Oryctolagus cuniculus: one gene and its partners. The protein of the gene in region 1 purifies or fractionates together with the protein of each later gene. This does not show direct contact. Links are inferred from orthologs where the notes say so. Each region holds a gene or a part of one and is shown in the gene's direction. Other genes may lie near its edges.

Region 1 (3,500 bases):
TGTGTTACGTGTGACATGTGCAGCGTGTGGGATGTGTGTGCCGCATGTGGGGTGTGTGTAGGGTGTGGGACGTGCGCCCCCACCAGGCCGCAGCCTGTGCTCCCGCGGCCGTGTCCACCCCGGCCGAGCACGGGGCGATGGCCTGCACAGCTGAGGCCGGGCCACCCTGCCAGCTGGGTCGTGGGAATGGAGCCTTGTCAGGGCCCCGGCTGTGCCCAGGGTCAGCGTGTGCGCCCTGGACTCCCGTGTCACGTCCCAGGACCACGCGCGTGCTGTGGGCCGTGGGGACAGCGTTTCTGGGTGGGTTTGTCACTGGGGACTCGTGTGTGTTTCAGGGCTCACCCCTGCTGGGGGTCACGGCCAGTGGCCCCGTTCCTGCTCCACTGCTGTCTGGGCTCAGGCTTGGGCCACGGCTCCTCAGAGCCCCCCTTTGCCGTGGCTGTGGCCCCCCACGGTGCTCAGGGCTGGGGGCCCTGCTGTACCCCACGCTCTGCCCCCCGCCACAGGTGCTGACGAGGCCGTGGGCGCCCTCGTGTACCCCACGCTCTGTCCCCTTCCCCTCCCCCACAGGTGCTGAACGAGGCCGTGGGCGCCCTCATGTACCACACCATCACGCTGACCAGGGAGGACCTGGAGAAGTTCAAGGCCCTGCGCGTCATCGTCCGCATTGGCAGCGGCTTCGACAACATCGACATCAAGTCAGCCGGGGACTTGGGTAGGTGCCCGTCCCTGCCGCCCAGGCCCCGCCCCGCGTGGGGCTCCCACAGGAGTCCGCAGCCTGGGGCTGGGCTGACTGCCGTGTGGCCCCCGAGTCAGTCCCACGCCTGTCACGGGCCAGGCTGACCCTGTGTCCCCACAGGCATCGCCGTGTGCAACGTGCCCGCCGCGGCCGTGGAGGAGACGGCGGACTCCACCATGTGCCACGTCCTCAATCTGTACCGGCGCACGACGTGGCTGCACCAGGCGCTGCGGGAGGGCACGCGGGTGCAGAGCGTGGAGCAGATCCGGGAGGTGGCCTCGGGGGCCGCGAGGATCCGCGGGGAGACCCTGGGCATCATCGGACTGGGTGCGTGGCCGCTGGCTCGGCAAAGGATGGGGGGCAGCCCGGGGGGGCGCCGTGGGCATCACACACGCACATACACAGACGTCACGCAGATGTCAGCAGCCGTCACGGGTGTCACACACACAACATGGACGTCACACACAGGTGTCAGCAGCTATCACATCACATACACACATGGATGTCACACTCATGTCAACAGTTCTAACGGGCATCACGTGACACGGGCACAAGAACATCACAGGAATGTCACGTGCGTCACACAAATGACAGGCACACGTGGGTATCACATGGGTGTCATGACACAGGGACATGGGTGTCCCATGAACATCAAGGCATCACACGGGTATCATATGCAGACGAGATGGCCATATGTGGGCATCACATGGGTATCACAGGCATGATATACCTGGGCACCACGCCTGTGTCACAGGCATCACGTGGGTGTCATGGGCACACACGTGGCTGATACGAGCACAGGGACACGGCTATCGGGCACACAGGCCTGAGAGTTGTCACACGTGGGGAACACGTGGGCGTTGCATGGGCACAGGCACCAGATGTGCAGCCAGGTGGGTGCTGCCATCAGGTGAGGGTGCCCAGAGCCTGTGCCCCTGGGGGTGGTCTCTGTCCCGTCCGCTTCCTTGTCACGTGTGGGCGCCAGGCCCCAGCATGGCCTAGAGAGGCACACGTGTGAGTCTGGGTGGCCCCGGAAGTGTCGTGCAGGGAGCCGGGGCTGGGAGAGGGGGTCCCGTGTGAGCCCCAGAAGCCGTCTCGCGGGGCCTCAGGCCTTTCTCTGGAAGGCGCTGGCCCTGGCTGTGGCCCCAAGCCTGGTTCTCGGCCGGGCATTGCGCTGACCAGGGGTACGGGCTGTATTGCCTGGGGGTGGGTGGGTGCTGTGGCTGTCCGGGCCTGCCCCTACTGGCGGCGTCCTCCGGGTCCCTGGCACACGCGATTTGCAGAACGGGCAGAAGCTGGGCTGTGGGAGGTTTGCTGTGGACACACGGCCTGTGGCACGGGCAGCTGTGGCCTGCGGGGCTCCTGCCGTGGTCTCGGCATCTGGGGTGCCCTGCTCTGGCGGCCAGTGTCCAGTGTGGCCTGAGCCTGTGGCCCTCGGTGTGGTTCTCCTGAGCCTGGGGCCTTCTGGGAGCCGAGGGCTGAGGTTCTGTGTCCGGGGACGCCCCCGAGTGCCGCAGCCCCACTGGGCAGACCTGAGCCCTGCCCACGCCCCTGTGTGTGCCCCTCTGTGGGTTCCACGGGTGACCCATGTGATGGCCACTGCTGGCCAAGTGGAGCAGCTGTCTCCCTGCTGCTGCTGGCACGGGGCACCTCTGCACCCCATGCGGGTCTGAGGTGGGGTCGTGACCTCGGCACCCTGTGTGTTCCCCAGTCGGGCAGCGGCTTCAGGTGTCACTCAGGACCTCCTGCTGGTGAAGGGGACCCCACTGCGTGACTGCACCCCTGTGTGTGTGTGTGTGTGTGTGTGTGTGTGTGTGTGTGAGGGAGAGACAGGCAGAGTGAGAGTGACAGAGACAGAGCGAGCGTGACCGAGACAGTGACAGACACAGACGGGAGAGTGACAGAGCAAGCCCCATCTGCCGTTCACCCCCCAGATGCCCGCACAGCAGGGGCTTGGCTGGAGCCAGGACCAGCAGCTCCGTCCAGGCCCTGTAGGTGAAGGGCTCAGCGCTGGGGCCCTCTCCTGCCCCCACCCCCGCCCCCGCCCCCAGCACTGGCAGTGCCCTGCGCCCCGCCCCACCGGTCCTTTACCCATAGCTGCAGAGAAAGTTCTAGAACCATGGCTGGGGCTTCACGGGGGAGGCCTCTCCTGGCCGTGCCGTGTGCACTTTTCCAAATGTCTGAGACCCCACCCCTGCCCTGCTGTGGGGGCCCCAGGATTTCTTTCTTTCTTTCTTTTTTTTTTTTTTTTTTTTTAAGTTTTATGTATTTATTTGAAAGTCAGAGTTACACAGAGAGAGGAGAGGCAGAGAGAGAGAGAGAGGTCTTCCATCCGCTGGTTCACTCCCCAGATGACCTCAACAGCCGGAGCTGTGCCGATTCAAAGCTAGGAGCCAGGAGCTTCTTCCGGGTCTCCCACGTGGGTGCAGGGGCCCAAGGACTTGAGCCACCTTCCACTGCTTTCCCAGGCCATGGTAGGAGCTGGGTTGGAAGTGGAGCAGCCGGGACTGGAACCGGCGCCCATATGGAATGCCGGCCCTGCAGGCGGCAGTTTTACCCGCTCTGCCACAGCGCCAGCCCCCTGGGTATTTGTTACCATGCCCCAGACCCCTCAGCGGCTCCTGGGACCCTGGCCCACGTTTTGTGAGTTGGGGTCTCCACCCCCGTGCAGACGGCCCCTGCTTGCAACTCATCCTGGAGGTTGCTGCACCTGTGTGTCTGTGAGAGACGTGGGTTCCGGAACGCTCCTGCTCTGGGTGGC
Region 2 (3,500 bases), on another chromosome or scaffold:
CACCTCTTAGAAACTTGGATTTGCTTCAGTGCTCTGATGTTAAATATGCCTAGATTTCAGTTTCCTTCTATTGCATAACCCTGTGTGTTCACAAGTTTTCCTTTGGTTTGACGGCAGGCTTCGATGGCTGAGAATAGTATACCTCTCTACACTACTGCTTCCATGGGAAATCCCACTCTGGGCAATTTAGCCAGCGCAATACGGGAAGAACTGAATGGGGCAATGGAGCATACCAACAGCAACGAGAGCGACAGCAGTCCGGGCAGATCCCCTATGCAAGCCGTGTGAGTACTGTCCACTCGAAAAGCCTTGGCTGCCAGGCCCCACCCAGCCGCTTTGTTTTATGTGTGCACAAGCCTTCCTGTGACCTCTGCATAGGCTTGTTTTATAATTTCTGATTTCCTAGGATCCAGGTAAAAGGTTGTGCTTCCAAAGAAATGTTTAGGTCAGTGTACATATGAAAAAGGGCAATCTGCTAACTTTCTCATAAAAATAGTTTTATCCTGCCCTAAAAGTGCATACAACAGTAAAGCGGGAGATAAATGCACTATTGCCGCCCTGTCCTGTTTTACATCTCAGGCCATTATTTAAGCCACACTGCCTTTTTCTCCTAAAACCAGTTTGTATCTCTATGCAAAAGTTTGTAATTAGTTCAACTTTCAGGCATGCTGAATCTAGCAGGGAGTAGAGGTGTTTACTTTTCTATGTGATAAGCCTCACCAAGAATGCAGGACTGCAGCATTATTACCAAGCATTAATGATGGCACAAATGAAAGGTGACGTGATTTATAGATTGCTCTTAAAATATCAAAAGGAAAATTAATAGGAGCATTACAGCAGCAGACGGCAGTGTAACGAGTGCACATACAACTGAATGAAGTGATGGGCAGCGGTTGCCCACGCCGAATGGGAATGGCACCGGGATCAGGCAAACCACAGGAACGGCCCAGCCACAAGGCCGAGATGCCCCTGGGGCCCAGGAAGAGCTTCAAAAGAGAAAAGAAACCTTATTATCCCAAATGATTTGATTTGCAGGGGGTGGTGTGGAAGGACATTCTTCCTTGTAGTCAGTTTCCGGGAAACTCTTGCCCACTTTAAGGGAGTAAGCCAGTTCAGCATTTCCAGTAGTGTCAGCTCCTCAAACGGGCCTCTTGTCTACCATTCTTCCTGAATTACTGATCAACATCTTATTTTAAGATGTGAGTGATGCGATGGAAAATATGACCTGTAGCAATTAGGAACAGAATGAACTGGCATCTAGTGACAAAGAAAAAATGCTATCTGCCAACATAATTGGAGGGTATAGGGGAATCTGAAATTTGATTTTCCAGCATTTGAATTTCATGCCCAACGTGCTTTGAAAAGGATCTTTGAAACATGGCAATAATCATTTTTAATTGATATGAACAGTCTCTTAGCATTTCCTTCACAACATTTTCAGATTGTGTTTATCTTTCACACTGCTGCGGCTGTGTTTCATCCTTTCTAAAGCAACCTGCTGTCTCCCCGACTTTATTGTTATCACAATCAGATTCATCTTTAAATCATTCTCAGAACAGAAGTATTTACTCAGATATTAAAGAAGTTCAGAGCAAATGTAAACTGGCATATAAGCAAATTCCATAAAAACTCATTAAAGCAAAATGTCTAAAGTTGCCGAATGGGAAAGATACTAGTTCTCATAATCTGTATACCTCTGAGGGTTAGCTGATGTATGTTCTTGTTATATGACACAAAGGTTGGCTGTTTAAAAAGAGACAATGTTTAAATACAAGCCTCCCAGGCAACAGTGTAAGGGGATGCTAATTTTGCTGTGCAAAATAAAATCACTATAAAGTTAATTTGTATAACAACTTTGTTTTCCGTGATGCTGGAGTTAAAACAATGTTTTACAGCAGTCATCATAATTTTTAAAAGAAACTGTATGAAGATGTCAAAATGCGTTGCTCAGTTTGCTAAGTGTAACTATGTGAACAGCAGACTCCCTGTGCCTATGACACCGGTAGTCTTTTTGACCATATACTTATCCAAAATGCATTACCCTGATGTGATGCAAACAGTGTTCAAGGGTTCCCATCGAACTTTGCAGCAGGGCTTACAGGACCTTGTTAGGATGGCAGCCCAGCTAATAGCTCCGTTGCAGCAGTTCAACTCTTCATTCTTGCTTTATCCATGACCCTCTAATACACTCTACTGCATTTGTCTCCTGAAACACTAGTCAACTTTATTTAAAAACTCTTGTCTTCCCAGAGTGGCTAAACCAAGGAATTACTCAGTTGGGAGGAAAGGGCAATGTGTGGCTTTGCAGCTACTCACTGGTTAGGCCTTTGGAGGCAGGTGCTAGAGAAAGCAAGCAGGGGTGGGGAGGGGTCTGCAGGGGAAGAAGGTGCCGTAGGTGAAGCACAGCAGCCTACGGAGTCTGTGTCTTAGCTGAAACTTACCTGACATGGAAATCTATTCTGCTCACCCCCTGAATCACTATAGGCTTCTGTCACTAAATTTGCCACTCAGATATCTGCGGGTCTGGAGAAATGTCCTGAAATTGAAATTAATAGCTAACATGATTGTGTTGGCAGGTTGTCACACAGATCTAGTCATTAGTATTTGCTGGGGATCCACAGGGTTAGAGCTAGCACTCTGTGTCTTTGGGATAGTACGTAATTGTGAATTTTCACTGCCAGTATTGGGAGGAAGGGGGAGTATTTCTCTGATGTTGTGAACTGTGTTCTGTGGGAGCCTTCCATGTATCTAATGTTTTCTTAGCTTAGCAAAACATTTGTCAAAGTCCAAAACTATAGAACAAGAACTTAACATTATGACTTCTTTCTTCTCCTATCTCCCCACAAAGCTTGATTTTATCTTATGCCATCAGATTGTGGTTTCTAAGTATGAAAAAAAAAATTTCAGATAGTTTGAAAAGTGAAGAGAAAATGCTGCTATAGAAAATGAAATTTGAACCTCAATACGTGGCTAAGTAAAATAAAAATTCTTACCCAATGGCTATTATGAAGTAACAGTTCTCTACAATGATCCTGAAATGTTCACCATTGTCATTAGTTCAAGAAACACAATTTATATTAACCTCAATTTATCTTATACCTAAGCAACAAAATATTTTTTAAATATGACTAGGTGTCCTGATGAGATTGAGTAGACAAAGGTACAGCCACTTTGGAAATTAATAATTGCAATAAATATCATAAGAACCATAAAGATGTTTTGGCCTTTTCCCCAGCAATTCCATTCTTAGACATTTATCCAAAAGAGGTAAATCAACAAACAGAAAGATTAATGGATAAAAAGGTCTTTATGTTAACAGTAAAAGGATGAATGAAAAGTGCCTAATATTAATACACAGAGGAATCCCCTATCACTGTTAAAATTATAACTGTCAAGGCTGCAAAAAAAAAAAAAAAAATCCCTGCTTTATCTACAATGTAAGACATACTATGGGAAGAGAAAGGCAAAAGCAAAAATCTGATCTCAATTAGGGGTCTACT
Region 3 (3,945 bases), on another chromosome or scaffold:
TCTGCCAGGGCTGTATGTCTATGGTGTATATCATTCATGCCGAAACTCAGCTGGGCAACATAACCCACGGAGTAAGGTGCCTACCTGTGCTTGTGACGTGTGGCCAAAAAAAAAAAAAGGTTCCTTATGCAAGGTCACGAGCCAGTGACTGTCGGGCGGCTGGGCTTACCTGGATTTCCACTGCGCGTGGCTGCCTAGAGGAGGCACTGAGACCCAGGGTTTCAAAAGGGGACGCCGCTCCAGGAGAAGCCAATAGTCACGGTGTCTCCTGTGCGTCCCTATCGCTCCTTTCCGTGCTCGTTTATGAAGGCGAGGCCTCGACCCGAGGCAGAGCCTTCCCTGTGGTGAACCAGAAATAGAAAAGCTAGATGCGGGGGAAGGATCAGCGGGCCAGACACAAACACAGCCGCCGCCGTTGCGTCCGGAGGCTCGGACACCCGGCTTGTTACCTAACCCGAGGTGGGGATGGGGAAGCTACATTTGAACCCGGGCGGCCCTCGTCCTTGGCCCTCTGCAGGGCCGACGCCGGGAACGACAGGAATTCTATGCAGGCCCCAGTGTAAGGACAGCCACTGCCATCGCCAAAGCCGCTCTCAGGGGAAAATGGCCCGGCTGCGTGCCGCGGCTCCTTTAAGGCCCCTCCCCGGCCGCCCTCCCTCGCCCACGTGATCCGGGGCGGCCGCGCGCCGGCTCAGCCCCCCGCGCAAGCGGCGATGGCGGCGGCGGCGGGAGCTGCAGCGGCGGCGGCCGCCGAGGTGCGGAAGGGGAGGGGGAGAGGCGGGTGCATGCCCGCGCGCGCGCCCGGGGGAAGCGCGCGCCCGTGCAATGCTCCGGGGGTGCAACGGGGCCGGGGGGCCCGGGCGGGACTTGCAGCAAACCGGGGGGCCAGCACCGGGGGCGGATGAGGGGACCAGGGGGTGGGAGGTGGGGGGAGTGGGCACGGAGGCGCGCATGCAGCCGCCGGCTGCCCCCGAGTGGGCGGCGGGTGCCGGGGCCCCAGGAGCGCGCGCGAGGGGCACGAGGGGCCGTCCACCGGGCTGGGGGGCAGCGGGCGCTGGAGGGGTTGGTGCCCGGGGTCCCCGCGGCCTGGGGGACAAAGGGGGAGCGGCGCGTGCAGCCGGGAGGAGGGGGCGGGGCCGGGGCGCTGAGGCCCCGCCCCCTCCCCCTCCTCTCCTCTCGGCCCCAGAGATGCGGGGTCTACCGAGAGGGAGGGGGTTGATGCGGGCCCGGGGGAGGGGTCGTGCGGCCCCTCCCGGCAGCCGAGGCCGAGGAAGAGGGGCGCCCCATAGAGGGAGAGGTAGGCCCCGGAGCCTCCTCTCTCTGCCCAGGGCCCAGGCTTCCTGGGCCCCCCAGCTCTCTCCCAGACTGACCAGCCCACCCCCTGTCCCTTGTCTCCCCTCCCAGGGGGAGGCCCCCGCTGAGATGGGGGCGCTGCTGCTGGACCAGGAGCCGCGAGGAGCCACCGAGAGAGGTGAGTGCAGCAGGAGCCGGCTGAGTTGGCCCCGGGGCTCTCCTGCCGCAGGGGCCCGGAACCCTTAGCCCTGAACTTTTTCTCTTCCTCCACAGTTCACGGCTCCCTGGGAGACACTCCTCGTAGCGAGGAGACCGTGCCCAAGGCCAGTCCCGACTCCCTGGAGCCTGCTGGCCCCTCCTCTCCGGCCTCTGTCACTGTCACCGTGGGCGATGAGGGGGCTGACACCCCTGTAGGGGCTACACCTCTCCTTGGGGACGAACCTGAGAGCCTGGAGGGAGATGGGGACCTGCCTGGGGGCCGAGTCCTGCTGGGTGAGAGGCTGGGGAGCCTGGGCTGTAGGGTGGGGGAACCGTCTAACCCTGCCTGCCTTCTCACCCTGTCCTCTGCCTGCCTCTTTGTCTCCCAGGCCATGCCACAAAGTCGTTCCCCTCGTCTCCCAGCAAAGGGGGTGCCTGTGCGAGCCGTGCCAAGATGTCCATGACAGGGGCGGGGAAGTCCCCCCCATCTGTGCAGAGCTTGGCTATGAGGCTGCTGAGTATGCCGGGGGCCCAGGGAGCTGCAGCAGCGGGACCTGAGCCCTCTCCAGCCACCACCAGCCCAGAGGGGCAGCCCAAGGTCCACCGAGCCCGGAAAACCATGGCCAAACCAGGAAATGGACAGGTGAGGATCCCGGAGTAGGACTGGGAGAAAGCTGGTCTTTTTTCAATTTAGCATTAGGCCTAGTCTCTTCCTTCCACACCTGGTGTTTATGAGGGGGCTACTTTGTGTCTGATATTCAGATGAGCCTGAGCACAGACTGCTCCCCAACCCCCTCTGGAGTTTGCATTCTCGGGGGAGGAGTGGTGAGAGTAGAATACAGATGTTAAAGAGTTAATTAAATAGCTAATGTCGTATTTACTCTTATGATAATGACCATGTAAAGGAATTTCTAACCACCCTTCCTTTCTACCTCAAAGCAAGCCCTGAGGGAATTTTTCTTTCCTTCTTTGAAACTGCCCTAATTTTTGTTGTTCTAAGATTTATTTATTTATTTGAAAGTCTGAGTTAACCAAGAGAGGAAGAGGGAGGGAGAGAAAGGTCTTCCATCCATTGGTTCACTCCCAAATGGCCGCAATGGCCAGGGCTGGGCCAGACCAGAGCCAGGAGCCAGGAAGTTCCTCCAGGTCTCCCCCGTGGGTTCAGGGGCCCAAGCACTTGGGCAGTCCTCCACTGTTTTCCCAGACACGTTAGCAGGGAGCTGGATTGGCAGTGGTGCATCCAGGACTTGGAACCGAGGACTGTATGGGATGCCAGCAACACAGGCAGCAGTTTAACCCCCTGCACCACAGCACCGGCCCCAAAACTGCCGCAGTTTTGTATGTAAAGTTTTCACTGAGAATCCCTACTAGGAAGGAGATGGAGGCCACAGAAATGTTGGCAGAGGGAAATGATGAAGGCTCCAGCATCCCAGAAGCAAGATTTGTTTACTATTCGGAAGGCAGAGATCTTCCATCTGCTAGTTAACTCCAGACAGTGCCGTGGCCGTGGCTGGACCGGGCAGAAGCCAGGAGCCTGAACCTCCATCCAGGTCTCCCCCGTGGGTGGCAGGGGCCCGAGCACTTGGGCCATCTTCTGCAGAGCTGCAGAGTGTTAAGGCTCTTGGTATTGTGTTCTGGGTGTGGTTTGGGTAGCCTCAGTGAAGCCTCTTTTCTCATGATAGAATAGGTATAATGTAAAGTTTGCCATCTAAACTACTTCTGTGGTATTAAGTATATTCATAATGTTGTACAACCAGCACTCTACATAATTTTCAGCTTATAAAACTAAAAGCTATGCCCATTAAGCAGTAATTCCCAGTGCCAGCACTGTGGCTATCTACAGTACTGGCATCCCATATGGGAACCAGCTTTTCTACTTCTGATCCAGCTCCCTGCTAATGCGCCTAGGAAAGCAGCGGTCTTCAAGTTCTTGGGCCCCTGCACCCACGTGGGAGACCTGGATTTGGCCTGGCACAGCCCTGGCCATTGCAGCCATTTGGGCAGTGAACCAGAGGATGGAAAAGGATGGAGATTCTCTTCTCCCCCTCTCTCTCTTTCTCTCTCTCTCCCTCCCTCCTTCTCTCTATTTATGCTTTTCAAAAATAATAAATCTTTTAAAAAATTAATAACTCCCCTATTCTCTCCCAAGCCCCTGACAACCGTTTTGTTTCTGAGTTTGAGGACTTAGAAGCTTACTTCACAGTTTGTGGGAAATGCATATTATGAAAACACTATGTATGGATTTCAAAATCTTTTATTCTGAAATATACTTGAAAATTTTCTTTTGATTTTATTTGAAAGGGAGAGAGACAGAGAAGTCTTCCATCTGCTTATTTACTGCCTAAATGCCAGGCTGGACCAGGCCAATGCCATGAGCCTGGTACTCCATCCTGGTCTCCCATGTGGGTGGCAGTGGCCCAAGTCCTTGAGCCATCAGCTGCTGCCTCCCAGGTC
Region 4 (4,294 bases), on another chromosome or scaffold:
TTATGGCACAGTGGGTCCAGCTCAGCCAGCAACATTGGCATCCCATATCCTGGCTGCTCCACATCTGATCCAGCTCCTTAATGCGCCTGGGAGGGCAGCTGAAGATGGCCCAACTGCTTGGATCCCTGCCACCCATGTGGAAGACCAGGATGCAGTTCCTAGCTCCCAGCTTCAGCCTGGCCTAGCTCTGTCCATGGTTGCCATTTGAGGGGTGAACTATGGAGACCTTTCTGTCTCTCCCTCTCTCAGTCACTTTGCCTTTCAAATAAATAAATGTTTTTTTTTTTTTTTTAAATTCCTGGAGGTGGAGAGCTGTGTCAGATTTAAGAACCTTTATGAGATTCTTGATTATCTACTACCAAATAGCAATGTTTATAGCCTCCGGTAGTCTGTGTGTGTGTGTCTGTGTCCCATTTCACTATCCCCTTGCCTGCATTGATATGTTTTTCTTAGGCTTTGCCGTTTTGATTGGTGAACATGGTATCTCCTGGTTCTCTTTTTCTTTGTAAGGTGAAGGCATTTCCTCCCTACGTTTACGAAAGCCATGGAGTTTAAATTTGTTCCAAGCGTGGGGCAAGAGACAAGGGATCAGTGGAGGCGACACCAGGTGCAGGCAGAGGATGGGGTTCAGGGTCCAGAATCCAGTGTGGGGAGGGCAGAGGGAGGCAGAGTTTGGGAAGGAACTTGGCTGCGTGGGAGGTGAGAACTGGGAGGGACCCGACAGACTGCGTTAGCACAGCTGGGTGTGGGGGGCAAAGGGCTCCCACAGGGGCAGGATAACAATGACTTTCAGTGAGCGCTTAGGGACTTCCTGTGCCCCTCCCCAGTGAGGATGCCGGCCGGACAGCGTGCCTGCGGTGCCCAAGACAGCTCAGCTCCACTAATTTATGGGCTGCAAGGTGAATCAACTCGTGAGCGTGTCACTTGGGAACCAAGTCCAAGGCCAAACCAATGAAGTGATGATGCAGGAACACTGAGGGGTAACTACAGGCCGGCACAGTTATACACACTTATCTTATGTTAGCTCATTCACCTTAAACAACCAGCATATAAAGCACAAGAAACCGAAGCAGTTAGGTAGCCAGGGAGGAGATCGAAGTCCTGAATTCCAACCCAGGAATTCGGGCTACGGAGCCTAACCGGCAAATACAGAAGTTAGCGTGGGAGGGGGAAGATGGAATCGGAGGACACACCCTCGCCCGAGCCGAACGGGCGGCCCAGGTGAGGACGCCGTCGCCCGAGGGGCCGCACTTCGGTTTCAAGTGACTCCCGAGCCGCTAACCACGGCTACCCTTTCCTAGGCCCCCGCTGGGCCCAGCGCCGCTTACCCCCAGAGCGCGGCGCTGTCACCGCTCCGTCCCCCGCCTTACGGAGGAGGAAGCTGGCGCGCACAGCTCGCCCCCCACCCGGCGCCGGGCCAGGCCCACCGCGGAGTTCGCAGCCCACGTGGCGCCCGGGAAAAGGGGCGGGGCGGGGCCAGCCCGGGGGCGGGGCCGCGGGGCCTGGGGCCACGGAGACTGGCGCGGCGCCGCTGGGGTTCGGGTGGGGTCGCACCTGTTGCGCGGTTCCCCTCTGGCCAGCCACGGGAGTCCGGCGCCACATACCCAAGGCGTGTTGCGAGAAACCCGGACGAGTTCCGGGTCCTGCTGGCTGGGGGAGCACGTGGCCTGCCCGCTTCTCCAGTGCGTTGGCTGGGGGGTCGGGACGCCGGGGTTGCCCGAGGCCACTCGGTCGGCCGAGGTCGGCTGCGGTTCGCCCGCAGCCGGCTGGAAATTTTGAAAAACTGCCCTACTTTCCCCAACCCAGTGCCAGGTCACGGCCCTTTGGAGCGACTTGGCCGGGGTCTGGGGCCCAGCCCCTCTCCCCTCCCTCACGACCCGGGCTTCCCGGCTGTGCAGACCCTCGCGGGCGGCTCCCCCAGTGCCCCTCGGGATTCAGGCAGCATGGCCTCGGGTAAGTGTGTGCGCGTATGTTGGGGCGAGGGTCTCTGGACTCAGAGGTGCTGTGGCCAGGGTGACAAGAGTGTGGGGGTCTTGGCACAATCTGCAGGACCTCGGGAAGAGGCTGGGGAAGCGGAGCGAGTGTGGAAGGGAAAGTCAGAAGCGGCTGGGGGTGGGGTGGCGGGGCGTCCCTTCCCCAGACCCCAGAAGAGCCCCTGGCTTCCTGGGAGGTAGCTTCCGCCGGTCCGTGGAATTTTCCCAAGGCAGGCCCCTCCCTCCTGGGCTGGGATTCTCCGTTCCACTCCCTCCTCCGTGAGCTGGGCTGCCCCTGGAGCCGGGGGTCAGGTGGAGGAGCAGAGGGGGCAGAGCCTCGCCTCGAGGCGCCGGGTTTTGGACGGAGCGCGCCTGCCCCGCCTTGCCCTGCGAGGAGTGGGTTCTGAACTAGGCGAGCTCGGCCGGATTCCTCTTTACGGCGGTCTTTTGCTCTCCGGCTGGCTGGACCAGCCAGCCTGGACTTTGGAGCCCTGGCCGGGGCGGGGGGAGGTTTCCTGAGCGGGGGTGGGGGGTGGCGGGGTGTGGGTGCGGTTAGTGGCGAGCTGGAGGCCGGCCCTCCCCGATCTGGTAGTCTCCACCCCGCCCCCCAGATCCGGCCGCCGTCAGTCGCGTCACTCGAGGGCTAAGGGGCCGGGATGGAGGCCCCACTCGCCGACGTTGCCTAGACAACATCAGAAATCGTGGCCAGGGCCTCTTCCGCCTGCGGGGCGCTGCTTCCTGCATCAGTCACTCCCGCTGGGGGCGGGGCGGAGGAAGGGGTTGGATGTGGCAGAGCCAGGCCCCAGCCGGTGCGGCTCAGACTCCCCCGCTGTCGCCGTGGCCCCAGCCATGGCATCCTATCCATCTGGCCCCGGCAAGCCCAAGGCCAAGTACCCCTTTAAGAAGCGGGGCAGTCTGCAGGCCTCGGCTGCCGCCGTTCCAGGTGAGTGCGGGCTTCCTGTCCTCAGGTACTGGCTCTGCCTCACCTCCACCGCGGATGGCTCCTGAACCCCCCCACCCCGCCCGGGGGTGGGGGGACCCGCCTTCCCTGGCACCCTGCTGCTGCTGCTGGTGCCTTGCCCTCAGTCCCAGCGATGGCTGGCTTGGGAAGTGCAGTGGGGAGGCAGGCGAGCTGGGGGGGTGCCAGGTTTCTGTGTCAGTGATGCTGCTCCCCGTAACAAGGAGTGGGTGCAACGAGAGGTGTGTGTGTGCACACGTGTTGGTGTGTGCATGTGGGAAGTGTGTGTGCATGGAGTGGAGGCGTGGGGGCCTTGACCGGCAGGCTCAGGCTTCCCCTGAGGGTAGTTTCTCTTTGCAGGACCCCACTTGGAGGCTGCCCTTCCTGGGGGTCTGAATGGGGGCTCCCCTGCCTCTGCCGCTGGCCCATTCCTGGGGTGGGTTGTGAGTCCCTGAAGGGGATGGGCTGTCCTTGGGGGTACCGCATGGCCCCTGCACCTCTTGGTTGAGCTCTCAGGCTGTAGGCGTCTCTGCAGCATTGGGGCAGGCGGTGTGGTGCGGCAGTACCTGCCTCCCGGGGGCTCAGCTGCCCAGGTCTGTGCTTGCTGAGCAGTCAGCCTGCCGCCTGCGACGCCCCAGGCCCCCCCCCCCCCCCCCCGTGGCTGAGGAAGGACCCTCCCCTGCCTGGCTGACCAGGTCACCCTCCCAGCCCCTGGCTTCCTACCCATAGCTCAGTCCCCTTCCTGCTGTGTTGTCTTATGCTATTGAAGTTGTCTGGTCTGAGGTCTCTACTGCCCTGGGGGTCTCTGCCGAGGTCCAGGCCTTTCGTGTGTCCTAGGGCTCGGTCTGTCCTGGTTGCCCTGTTGCTGAACAGGAGACTTTCGTGGGTGGTCAGACGGTGGGTGTCTGATACTTGTGGGTCACAGACTTGGGCACCTCCCTGCCTACTGAGGCAATCTTGGTGGCCAGGATGTTGGAGTTGGTGGGAGTGGCTGGGGGCAGCCCCATCTGGCTTCTGCTTGACTCCCCTGTGTGAATGTGGGTGTGTGTATCTGTGGTGCTGCGGCCAGAGACCTCCTCCATAGTAGGCAGCTGAGCCTTGGAGCTTGGCCTGGGTGCCTGGGTGTCATCTCCGGTGAACCCTTCAGAGCTCTCTTCAACGACCAGCAGACTGGCGGGATGGCTGTGGCCGCTAGAACCTGGCTTGTAACTCCCAACGCTGCTGTGGAGGCCCCGGGCCGCCGGCTGGGGGCCAGGCTGAGGTTAGGGCCTTCGCGGCAGCTGGTGAGGAGCCAACACAGACCAGCCTCTTGCAGGAGATTAGGAGTCAGCTGGGGCCCTGTGTGAGGGATCAGAGTCCTCAG
Region 5 (3,500 bases), on another chromosome or scaffold:
TTGTCATTGCAGCCATTTGAGAAGTGAGCCAGAAGATGGAAGATCTCTGTTTCTCCTTCTTGTCGCTCCCCCTCTTCGTGGAGGAACGACACAGGACCCTGCACTGTTCTTTTGTCTGCTCGGCCCTCCCCGGGTTGGCTGCCGTCCCTTCCACCTCCGTGGAAGGGCGGTTCCCCCTGCCACATTCCCCACTTCCACAGGGGAGCGGCACACCGCCGGCCGGCTCTCTCAGGGGCTGCACACGTGTTCCCCTTAGATGTTCCCCTTAGATGTTCCTGGTGCATGCCGTCTCTCTCCTCCTTTTTAGTCCTCCTCCGCCAATCCTAACTCGGCTGCCCACACGCCGAGTACACTGCTCTCCTCCAATCAGGAGCAAGTCCTACAGTTTATTGGCTGAACTGGAGGCAGCTGTGTAGAAGCTGTTTTCTTCTCTCCCAGCGCCATATTGTGGGAGAGCAGATGCATAGAATAAATCTTAATTCCAGTAACTTAGTCTAGTCTGAGTTGCTCCCCACACTTCTCTCTCTATAATTCTGCCTTTCAAATAAATAAATAAATCTTTTAAAAAAGGAAAATATTATTTTCTGATTTCAGCAGCCTATTTAAATTTATCCTGAATTTTTATTCTGTAAATATGTTTTGATTCATTAAACTTATTTTAATTTTATAAATCAAGTTAGAACTTTCACTGCAAGTAAAGTTTTTTTTTAGTCTTATCTGTTGATTTTAGTCATGTTATAGAAACACCTGTTGAACACACACATAGTTGCCAGGAACGTAAAGCTAAATAAAACACTTAAGCTGAGTAAAAGTCAGCATGCATTTTAGGTAAAGAGTAGAGTGACAGATTGAGTATTTGAACCAAGGCCACAAATGAATTTAGACTTTCAACAGAAAACTAATGCTCTGCCTATTAACAAGTAGAATCTTCCCTAGTGAATATAAAAATATCATTTAAGAAGACAAAAATGAGAGAAAACACAACCTTCTGATACGATTTTGATTATCTGATCTCTTTCCTCACAAAATTCATATTTTATAACCACATTTCTAATCATTTGGAAGGATGCATGTAAAAGAGGTCTTCAGGGAGTTTATGGGAAAGGTGTGTTGTGAGAAAAATATGCATGGACTTCAAAAATTTTTTCACCAAAGTAAACTTGTCTTTTCATTCTATTTCCTGTGAACTCACAGCAGTATCCTTGTACCAGTCCGCTTAGGCTGCCTTGACAAAGTGACACAGATTGGTCTGCTTAGAACAGTAGCAATGCTTATTTTCTCACGGGTCAGGAGACTGGGTGTCCAGGAGGTTGCTCTTTCTCACTGAGCTGCCTTCTTGCTGTGTCCTCCCGTGGTGGGGAGAGATACCTCTCTCTTCCCCTCTTCCCATTGGATTAGGACTCTACCTTTATAACCTTCTTTAACCTTAATGTCTTCTCTGAAGATCTTATCACAAAACACAGTCACATTCAGGGTTAGGTCTTCAACACCTGCATTTTGGAGGGTGCAACTCAGTCCATAGCAGTGCACAGTTTTCCAGTTGATATCAATACGTATCTCCTGAGTTACTTTGTTATTACGTTAGTGCAGAACACAAAAATGGAAAATATTCCAGAAAAGTCAGTGTCTTCACATACCTTTCTATAAATGATGCCATCTTCAAATCCGTTGAGTTTGGAACGGCTGTCTCCAAGTAGATTAAAGTTTTCAGTCCCTTCTTCCCCCCATAAAACTGGACATGATTTAATTAGGCTAAAATAGTGCACTTCGGTGATTTCCCCTGATCCTGCTTAGGGCAGAGGAGGAGATTTAACAAATCTATAGCATAAAGTCTAGCCCTGCTTTGAACTTAAGCTTGCTTTATTTTTGTGAGGAATTTTTAATGCACTTAAATGCATTTTTTTAATGTTCTCCTTTTATGTATTGTGTGTGTGTTCTCTGCAGACTCCCAGGCCTTTAAACATCATTAAACAAAACAACGGTGAGCAGATCATTAGGAGAAGAACAAGAAAGCGCCTTAACCCCGAGGCACTTCAGGCTGAGCAGCTCAACAAACAGCAGAGGGGTAGCAGTGAGGAGCAGGTCAACGGGAGCCCGTTAGAGAGGAGGTCAGAAGATCATGTAACTGAAAGTCACCAGAGAGAAATTCCGCTCCCGAGCCTAAGCAAATACGAAGCCCCGGGTTCATTGACTAAAAGCCATTCTGCTCAGCAGCCAGTCCTGGTCGGCCAAACTCTGGATATTCACAAAAGGATGCAACCTTTGCACATTCAGATAAAAAGTCCTCAGGAAAGTACTGGAGATCCAGGAAATAGCTCATCCGTATCTGAAGGGAAAGGAAGTTCTGAGAGAGGCAGTCCCATAGAAAAGTATATGAGACCTGCGAAGCACCCGAATTATTCACCACCAGGCAGCCCTATTGAAAAGTACCAGTACCCACTTTTTGGACTTCCCTTTGTACATAATGACTTCCAGAGTGAAGCTGATTGGCTGCGGTTCTGGAGTAAATATAAGCTCTCCGTTCCTGGGAATCCGCACTACTTGAGTCATGTGCCTGGCCTACCAAATCCTTGCCAAAACTATGTGCCTTATCCCACCTTCAATCTGCCTCCTCATTTTTCAGCTGTTGGATCAGACAATGACATTCCTCTAGATTTGGCGATCAAGCATTCCAGACCTGGGCCAACTGCAAACGGTGCCTCCAAGGAGAAAACGAAGGCACCACCAAATGTAAAAAATGAAGGTCCCTTGAATGTAGTAAAAACAGAGAAAGTTGATAGAAGTACTCAAGATGAACTTTCAACGAAGTGTGTGCACTGTGGCATTGTTTTTCTGGATGAAGTGATGTATGCTTTGCATATGAGTTGCCATGGTGACAGTGGGCCTTTCCAGTGCAGCATATGCCAGCATCTTTGCACGGACAAATATGACTTCACAACACATATCCAGAGGGGCCTGCATAGGAACAATGCACAAGCAGAAAAAAACGGAAAACCTAAAGAGTAAAACCTTAGCACTTAGCACAATTACATAGAAATAGGTTTTCTTGATGGGAATTCAATAGCTTGTAATGTCTTATGAAGACCTATTAAAAGAAATACTTCATAGAGCCTGCCTTATCCAACATGAAATTCCCTTCTTTTTATTATTCTTTCTTTCAATGAGTAGGTTACCGAGACTAAAAAGTGAGGCAAATGGTCAGTGAGAAAGAATGGAAGATGGCAAACAATCATTTTTTTTTAAAACCTACTAAGTTAAAACCATCTTGACTGATGTGCACTGGGGAAGTGATCTGTAAGAAGTACCACCAGACGATAATTGCTGTGTTTATAAAGAAAGGTAACACCTGGCTAGAATTAGAAAGAATTTACACATGATGCAAGTAAAGCAGTATTGGGCTGGCCATTGGCCCATTGGTTCAAAGATCCACAGATTGTTGCCTAAATTTAGAAGTGTCATGAAATCCTAGGCAGATGAGGAGAAGTCAGATCTCCAAGGCA
Region 6 (3,500 bases), on another chromosome or scaffold:
TATTTTATTTATTTGAAAGAATTACAGAGTGATCCATCTGCTGGTTCACTCCTTTAATGGCCACAACAGCTGGACTGGGCCAGATCAAAACTAGGAGCCTGGAACTCCATCCGGGTCTCCCTCATGCGTGGCCGGGGTCCAGGTACCTGGGCCATCTTATGCTGCTTTCCCAGGTGCGTTAGCAGGGAATTGGATTGGAAATGTAGCAGCTGGGACTGGAAGTGGCTCTCCTGTATGATGCTAGTGTTGCAGCTAACTACTTAACATGCTGTGCCACAATGCTGGCCCTGGCTCAGTGGTTGATTTGGGAGAACTTAGAGAAACTGATGACTTTACGATATACTTTAAAGTTAATATTTAAATTTTTTAATTATAAAAAATTTTTGATTGGCAGTCACTGTACCTATTTGTGTAGTGTGATAATTTGATACATGTATACTATATGCACTGCTCAAGTGTGCTTTGAGTTTTAAAGTCACAAGTTGCTTTGTGTCGTGGTGTTGAAGGTGGATCATCGGGGACGAGCAACAGTGGGCGAGCCAGGTCGGATCCAACACATCAGCACCGGCACAGCGGGGGCCACTTCACGGCCGCCGTCCAGGCCATGGACTGCGAGACACACAGTCCCCAGGTAAGCTCTCACGTCGCCCGCGTTGGACGCAGAGGCTCTAGAATGACTCCCTCATGTGCCCCTGTTTGTCTTGTGGAATCTGGCTCTTGCAGCGCCTCTCCTGTGAAGGGCTGGCTGGTGCTGTTGGGTGTGCACCTGTTGTCCCGCATGCTTTCTTCCTGTGTTCACCTATTTACTGTCTCAGCGACGTCTGAGACTGCCTGGGTTAGGTGACTTTCCCTGATCCCCATCTTAACTACTACCCCTCTGCCTTCCAGGGCCTGGTACTCGTCATACTCCTGGATTCTGAGTCTGTGTGATAAGATTTTAGCCCATGTTTTTGTCTATGCTTTTTAAACCTTTTAAAGAAGTAATGTTTAAAATTGGGGTGAGGAGGCAGATGGTGATGGTGAAAATATTTAAATACTCCTGTAAAGTAGTAAGTTAGTTCCCCCTGAGCCTTGCTCTGTGACATGGGAGGCCAGCCTGTAGTTCCGGTCACTGCCCACTCCCCAGACTCGGGCTGAAAGTGCTGGCACAGCCGGGAGGCTCCCAGGACGCCTCCAGTCACCATCTCTCTTCCTGCCTCTTAGCAGTCCTTGCTCCCCTTGCCTGGAGAGGGAGCTCTGCCTCCGTGTGTGCACTCGACCACATTTCTCCCTCACCCTCCCCAGCGCTGGGGCGGGCCTCCTGCTCCCCTGTCGCCCGGGCTTTCTTGGGACTGTGCTCTTGGTCACCCTCTCTACCCTGTTCTTGGCCTCTCCCTCTTATTTCCTGTTGATCAACATTTGATGAAACCCGGTCTCTGCCATCTTGAGCAGAACCTCTGTCTGACTGCCTGTCTCTCTGACTCTGCCTTCGGCCACTGTCGTCTCCGTCTCCTCACCGGCTAAGGTCTGCCACATTAGTGTCCTGCCTCCTGCCCCACTGCCACCCTTGAGTCCAGTGGACGCCTAATGCCATCTAATGTTTTGCTTCCTGGCCATGTTGGATGCTGTTGACTTCTCCCTGTCCTCTGAGGGCCACCTCTGGTTTCCATGGCAGAATGTCCACTACCCCCACTTCTCCGCCCTCTGCTTCACTGACCCGGCTTGTAGCATCTCCTCTCCTGTTCCCCTGGACACCTGGCGTTTCTGGAGGTCCAGCCTGTGACCCGCCCCTTCTGATGACTGCAGTCACCACCACGTCTGTGATTCCTAATCTGCTTCTGGCCGAGATTTCTTCCCTGAGCCCCAGTGCCTTTATTTCTGAGTTTTTAAAGATTTATGTATCTTCATTTTACTTGAAAGGCAGAGAGACAATGAGACATGACAAGAGCTGTTCCACTCGCTGGTTCACTCCCCAAATGCCTGCAGTGGCCGGAGCAGAGCCAGGCCAAAGCCAGGTACTTGGGCCATCTTATGTTAGCACTCCATCTGGGTCTCAGACTCACGTGGGTGGTAGGCCCTGAGTGTTTGGCTTTTCTGCCTCTCATACCCTCTCTAGCATTCTGCTGAGTCGTCGTACACCCAGTTCCGTTGGCCTGTACCACCACTCTCACCCCTGCAGCCGAGTGAGGCTGACCGAGCAGACTGAGCTCACTGTTCTCTCTGCGTTGAACCACTCTTCGCCTTCCCCTTGCACCTAAAATGCAGCTCAGACCTCTTGCCAAGGTGCCCAGGAGTCCACGCCCTGGGCCCATGCAGGCTGCTCCTCCTCCTTCCCACTGCACTCACACTGCTGCTTGTGTGCCGCGTGTCACGGCTCTTCCTCTGCTGCCTGGGCCAGGTCTCGGCCTGGGTGCTCTGTGCTGCTCAGTCTTCTGCTCTAGGTCTTGACTTAGCATCGCTCCTGCCAGGGACTCCCCTGATTCTCCATCCTTCCCCCTTCTCAGTACAGCGAAGACGGAGACACCAGGAGCACCCACCCGTGTGCCTCCCACTCCTTCATTGCTCAGTGTCTGGACGGTTGATGCAGTCATGGTGAAAGGCAGTCAGTTTTATGGAGGACTCCATGAAGTTGGCCTTTGTTCCATGTCCTCTAGCCACCCAACTCTAATAAAAACTAACATTAATTAGGGTTTTGTAGCCATTTTTGGTATCTCTTATGCATACACCAGCAAGTATGATTGTCACCCAGTTTCTGTACACAAATAGTAACACACCATACACTCCTTTTAACATCTTAGTTTGTCCACATTTGATAATATATTTTGGAGCTCTTTTTTATTTTTTTAAATATTTATGTAATTATTTGAAGGAGGGAGTTCTTCCATCTGCTGGTTCAGATGCCTGCAATGGTCAGGGCCAGGCCAGGCCAGGCGAAAACCAGGAGTTTAATCTGGGTGTCCCACGTGGGTGGCAGGGGCCTAAGGACTTGGGCTATTTTCTAGTGCTTGCGCAGGTGCAGTAGCAGGGAGCTGGATTGGAAATGGAACAGCCAGGACTCGAGCTGGCGCCCGTGAGGGTCTGGCGCCCTGGAGCCCTTCTTTGTCAGTAAGAGACAGGTGCTGCAGCCTTCAGAGGGCTGGGGGCGGAGTTGCAGGGTTCTACACTGTTTAGATATTCTCTAGGTCGTGCTGCTGTTTCCCTGTTACTGAATATTTATTTCATTTCCAATATTTTTTTACTATTATAAATAATGGTGCAATCATCCAGAGTATCTCAGTTCTGGGAGACTCAAAAAATTCATGGAAACTGCCTGCCCCGAGAAAAGCATGCATGGATTTCAAAAATCATCTTTTCATTTCGTTTTCCATGAACACAAAAGACCTCTCCATAGAGGCACACGTGTAAGTGCCCTGTGGTGGGGATTGCCGGGTCAGGGGTAGTGTCAGCTCCAGGAGTCGATGCCGAGTTGCCTCCCACGTGATCGCCCATTCAGCGACTGGAACGGCTGCAGCGTTTAACGT
Region 7 (3,500 bases), on another chromosome or scaffold:
TCCATCTAGAAGTCCTGAGAAGTCTGCTTGTTCTCTCTGAGCCTAGGGTTATTCTGCCGTGTCAGCGCTGGAGAGCACCCCAGTAGAGATGTGCTCCAGGTGGGTCCATCCCCACAGGCCACTCCTGGGCCTGCCACCAGGTTAGACTCCTGTCCTGTGTGCAGGAATGCTGGGTGGCCGGCTCCTATCCCAAGCCCTCAGCCACAAGACCAGTGTGGCTCACCTGCCCAGGTGCTGCTGCTGCTGCGGTCACCCCCTTACCACTGTGATGTTGGCTGGGCTGTGACCACTGCAGTGGCCTGGAGGCAGGGACCCTGAGGATCTGCTCATCAGCCTGGCTCTGGGTCCCAAAACAGTTGTGTGATTCCTTACTGTGTCTGCCCATGCTTGCAGGCAGCTGATAAAGGCAACTCCTTAGCCACTTAGGCAGTGGATGCAGGGCCCACTGGGTCCCACAGGTACCAGGCTCTGTGCAGACCAGGCCTGCAAGAGTCTAGTAGTGCTCCTCACCACCAGTTTGGTCTCGGCAGGACACAGGTCTCGCCTGATACTGGTGTGTGTGCCCAGCTCTGTCCTCAGGATCTGCCCAGTGCTGGGATTTAACAGCCCAGCACTGTGTCACAGACACTACCCCATGCCCTGACCTCCCAGACTGCAGGCTGGCCGCACGTGGACCCCCAGAGTCATAGGTTCCTGACCTGGGGTGTGTGTGTGTGTGGCCGGCCCTGTACGTGGGCGTCTCTACAGGGGGAGGAGTCACCAGAGCAGAGCCTCTCATTCGGTCACCATCTTTATTCCTCTGAGAATGACCTTTTAAAATTATTGTTATTTATTTATTTGTGAGGCAGACAGACAAGATGGAAAGAGAGAAAGGGCTTCTGTCCATTGGCTCACTCCACAGATGTCTACAGCAGTCAGGACTGGGCCAGGCTGATGATGCAGGAGCTCCCATGTGGGTGGCAGAGGTGCAGTGGCCTGAGCCGTCACCACCACCACGCCAGACGCACGCCAGACGCCTGCCATCAGCATCAGACATGTGGCAGCCGCGCCGTTGGGCTTTTCAGAACATGCTGTTAGAGTTCTCCAGTGCGCTGGGGGTAATAGTTTCAATTACATTTGTATCTTTCATGGTGGAAAACTCCGATCAGTAGTGCCACTGCCGCTCCTGAGAAGTGGGTACCTCCTGCTGCAGGCTGCTGGGACTCAGTCAGTTACAGCTGGGCTAAGCTTTGGCGTGCAGTTAGCTTTATTTGTTTTAGTTCATTTCAAAATTGAAGATTTAGGAATTTTTTATTTTTTGATTATGCAAAGTATTTCTTTGCTTTAAAGGTAAAATCTAGAAAGTTCCGAGTCAGAGAAGCCTTGCTCTGCGTGTTCTGTTTTCTGTTAGCTGTGTTCTCAGTCTGCTCAGGCTGCTGCAACAGACACCAGACGCTCTTCTCATAGCTCAGGCCGGAAGTCTGCGAGCAAGGGACCGTCACGTGTGGTGTCCGGTGAGGGCCCCTCGCTTGCTCATGGCCAGCGCCTCCTCTGTGTAGGGGAGAAGCACTGAGCCCACTCACCTCCCGGGGGCTCCTCCTCCCGACACCTTCAGCTTGAGGGATGGGGATTCCCACACAGGCACGGGATCACGGTTCTGCCGTCTGTGCAGCAGGAAGAACGTGGCGCAGGCGGCGCTCCTCCCCCTTCTCTGCACGTGTTCCCCTCGGCTTCCCGCCTCTGCGAGTGCGCCGCACACGGCGTCGTGCTGTGGACGTGGGACCCCTCGGCTTCCCGCCTCTGCGAGCGCTCCGCGCACGGCGTCGTGCTGTGGACGTGGGACCCCTCGGCTTCCCGCCTCTGCGAGCGCGCCGCACATGGCGTCGTGCTGTGGACGTGGGACCCCTCGGAGTCTGCTTGGGACTGTGAGGTTGATCTCGGCCGTGGCTGCTGCTGCCAGTGCCTCCCAGGGAACAGCCTGGCGGAGCTGCGCTGTTACCACCAGAGGCAGTCCTCAGGCTCCGTCCCTCCGTGGTCCAGGCATGCAGCTCACGGCCACGCTCAGCACAGGATTTCCATTTGACTCCTCTGCTGCTGTTTGTCAGCAGAGAACGAGCTCTGTGGGGGCTCTCCGAGGGCAGCCTTGGCAGCCTCGGGGTCCGTCAGTCACAGCCAGCTCTGCCGATTTTCCCATCTCTTTGTCCGTGTCTTGCTGTCTAGTGTGTCAGCTCATCTGGGTTGTTAATGATAACTTGGGAGAATTCTGATTTTCTCTAGAGTGTGATCCATTTCTTTGTTTATTGGTGCGACTGCAGCTGCCTCTCCGTGAGCCACGCTGGTCTCTGCCTGTTGTCAGTCTCCCTTGGGGTCTTCCCCTCCATTAGGGTCTCCTCCCTCCTCACACTCAGTGCAGCTGCTCTCACACAGACCCTGATGCTGCCCACCCCGTGGTCCTTCCCCAGGGGTCATGCTCTGGCCAGTCAGGCCTCCGTCCACAGTCTCTCAGTGCAGATCCCAGAGTCCTTGTCTTCAGGAGAGAGGGTTGGACACCTGGTCCCACACCACTGAGTCACAAGGTCCAAGTGGGATGACCCCGTCTGATCTCGGTAGCCATTGCTGAGTCTGTCGTCCTAGGGCGTCGACGGGTGTTTGTCCAGGCCTGCAGCCGACACCTGAAAGCCCTGCTGTGAGGGCTTAGAGACTGGCCTCTGTGCAGGCTGCACTGTGCTGGTTAGGGCTTTCAGCGTCCCTTGGCCTGTGAGGACGTGCTGGCCGTGGCTCACGTCCATGAGGACATGACGGTGCGTTCCAGGCGTGGTCTCTGTGCAGGCCTTGTCCCCCGTGGGACTTGGGTTCTGGAACAGTGCTCTTCTGTCTCTGACCTCACAGCCCGTGAGGGGTTTGCTGGTAGGCCAAAGCTGTGCACGTCAGGCTGGGGGCACTGCTGTGGGGTGCAGGGCTCGGGGATGGTGTCCCATCTGCTGTGTCTCCTCCTGTCCTGCCGGCAAGTCCTGCATCTCCCGACTCTGCCCCGTGCCCTCGCCACCACGGGCGCTGTGTGTGTGGTCGCAGCCCTGGGCCTGCTCGTGTGGCTCGTGTACACCACCTGTCTCAGGTTGTTTCCCGTGACTGGGACCTCACAGATGACCCTGCCTTGCTGAGCCCATAGTGGACGGAAGGCCAGGGAAGACGCGTGCTGTCCTCTCTCGCCCTCCAGGATGGGGAGGTGTACTGCATCGACGCGCGGTTCTACGGCAATGTCAGCAGGTTCATCAACCACCACTGCGAGCCCAACCTGGTGCCGGTGCGTGTGTTCATGTCCCACCAGGACCTGCGCTTCCCCAGGGTCGCCTTCTTCAGCACCCGCCTGATTGAGGCCGGAGAGCAGCTGGGGTATGTATGCCTGTGCGGGCCATCCCACACCGCCCCGCGTGCCCGCGGGGGCCTTGCCCTTGCCATGTCCAGCGTGTGGTGAGTGCTGAGCCCTGCTCCCCTCCCAGGTTCGACTACGGAGAGCGCTT

The links.
Region 2: the proteins of CTBP1 (region 1) and FOXP1 purify together in Homo sapiens (affinity purification with western blotting; 3 studies listed by BioGRID and IntAct, with this or other methods). This does not show direct contact. The link is inferred for Oryctolagus cuniculus from reciprocal best matches to the Homo sapiens genes CTBP1 and FOXP1.
Region 3: the proteins of CTBP1 (region 1) and EHMT2 purify together in Homo sapiens (affinity purification with mass spectrometry; 4 studies listed by BioGRID and IntAct, counting the BioPlex papers as one, with this or other methods). This does not show direct contact. The link is inferred for Oryctolagus cuniculus from reciprocal best matches to the Homo sapiens genes CTBP1 and EHMT2.
Region 4: the proteins of CTBP1 (region 1) and AMPD2 purify together in Homo sapiens (affinity purification with mass spectrometry; 3 studies listed by BioGRID and IntAct, with this or other methods). This does not show direct contact. The link is inferred for Oryctolagus cuniculus from reciprocal best matches to the Homo sapiens genes CTBP1 and AMPD2.
Region 5: the proteins of CTBP1 (region 1) and TRPS1 purify together in Homo sapiens (affinity purification with mass spectrometry; 3 studies listed by BioGRID and IntAct, counting the BioPlex papers as one, with this or other methods). This does not show direct contact. The link is inferred for Oryctolagus cuniculus from reciprocal best matches to the Homo sapiens genes CTBP1 and TRPS1.
Region 6: the proteins of CTBP1 (region 1) and DYRK1A purify together in Homo sapiens (affinity purification with mass spectrometry; 4 studies listed by BioGRID and IntAct, with this or other methods). This does not show direct contact. The link is inferred for Oryctolagus cuniculus from reciprocal best matches to the Homo sapiens genes CTBP1 and DYRK1A.
Region 7: the proteins of CTBP1 (region 1) and EHMT1 purify together in Homo sapiens (affinity purification with mass spectrometry; 3 studies listed by BioGRID and IntAct, counting the BioPlex papers as one, with this or other methods). This does not show direct contact. The link is inferred for Oryctolagus cuniculus from reciprocal best matches to the Homo sapiens genes CTBP1 and EHMT1.

Annotation. Positions count from the first base shown.
Region 1 is NC_091433.1:411,761-415,260, reverse strand, and holds part of CTBP1 (C-terminal-binding protein 1), read left to right. Parts: intron 1-570; coding exon 571-715; intron 716-859; coding exon 860-1,066; intron 1,067-3,500. UniProt on the Homo sapiens protein: Corepressor targeting diverse transcription regulators such as GLIS2 or BCL6. Has dehydrogenase activity. Involved in controlling the equilibrium between tubular and stacked structures in the Golgi complex.
Region 2 is NC_091441.1:78,271,887-78,275,386, forward strand, and holds part of FOXP1 (forkhead box protein P1), read left to right. Parts: intron 1-117; coding exon 118-284; intron 285-3,500. UniProt on the Homo sapiens protein: Transcriptional repressor. Can act with CTBP1 to synergistically repress transcription but CTPBP1 is not essential. Plays an important role in the specification and differentiation of lung epithelium.
Region 3 is NC_091436.1:138,643,127-138,647,071, forward strand, and holds the start of EHMT2 (histone-lysine N-methyltransferase EHMT2), read left to right. Parts: upstream 1-1,145; 5' UTR 1,146-1,188; coding exon 1,189-1,471; intron 1,472-1,566; coding exon 1,567-1,785; intron 1,786-1,880; coding exon 1,881-2,134; intron 2,135-3,945. UniProt on the Homo sapiens protein: Histone methyltransferase that specifically mono- and dimethylates 'Lys-9' of histone H3 (H3K9me1 and H3K9me2, respectively) in euchromatin.
Region 4 is NC_091438.1:60,791,596-60,795,889, reverse strand, and holds the start of AMPD2 (AMP deaminase 2), read left to right. Parts: upstream 1-1,494; 5' UTR 1,495-1,681; coding exon 1,682-1,682; intron 1,683-1,698; exon of another isoform or gene 1,699-1,806; coding exon 1,807-1,953; intron 1,954-2,619; exon of another isoform or gene 2,620-2,757; coding exon of another isoform or gene 2,758-2,922; intron 2,923-4,294. UniProt on the Homo sapiens protein: AMP deaminase plays a critical role in energy metabolism. Catalyzes the deamination of AMP to IMP and plays an important role in the purine nucleotide cycle.
Region 5 is NC_091437.1:140,958,932-140,962,431, reverse strand, and holds part of TRPS1 (zinc finger transcription factor Trps1), read left to right. Parts: intron 1-1,944; coding exon 1,945-3,006; 3' UTR 3,007-3,500. UniProt on the Homo sapiens protein: Transcriptional repressor. Binds specifically to GATA sequences and represses expression of GATA-regulated genes at selected sites and stages in vertebrate development. Regulates chondrocyte proliferation and differentiation.
Region 6 is NC_091435.1:7,445,262-7,448,761, reverse strand, and holds part of DYRK1A (dual specificity tyrosine-phosphorylation-regulated kinase 1A), read left to right. Parts: intron 1-506; coding exon 507-631; intron 632-3,500. UniProt on the Homo sapiens protein: Dual-specificity kinase which possesses both serine/threonine and tyrosine kinase activities. Exhibits a substrate preference for proline at position P+1 and arginine at position P-3.
Region 7 is NC_091432.1:237,927,273-237,930,772, forward strand, and holds part of EHMT1 (histone-lysine N-methyltransferase EHMT1), read left to right. Parts: intron 1-3,196; coding exon 3,197-3,372; intron 3,373-3,479; coding exon 3,480-3,500. UniProt on the Homo sapiens protein: Histone methyltransferase that specifically mono- and dimethylates 'Lys-9' of histone H3 (H3K9me1 and H3K9me2, respectively) in euchromatin.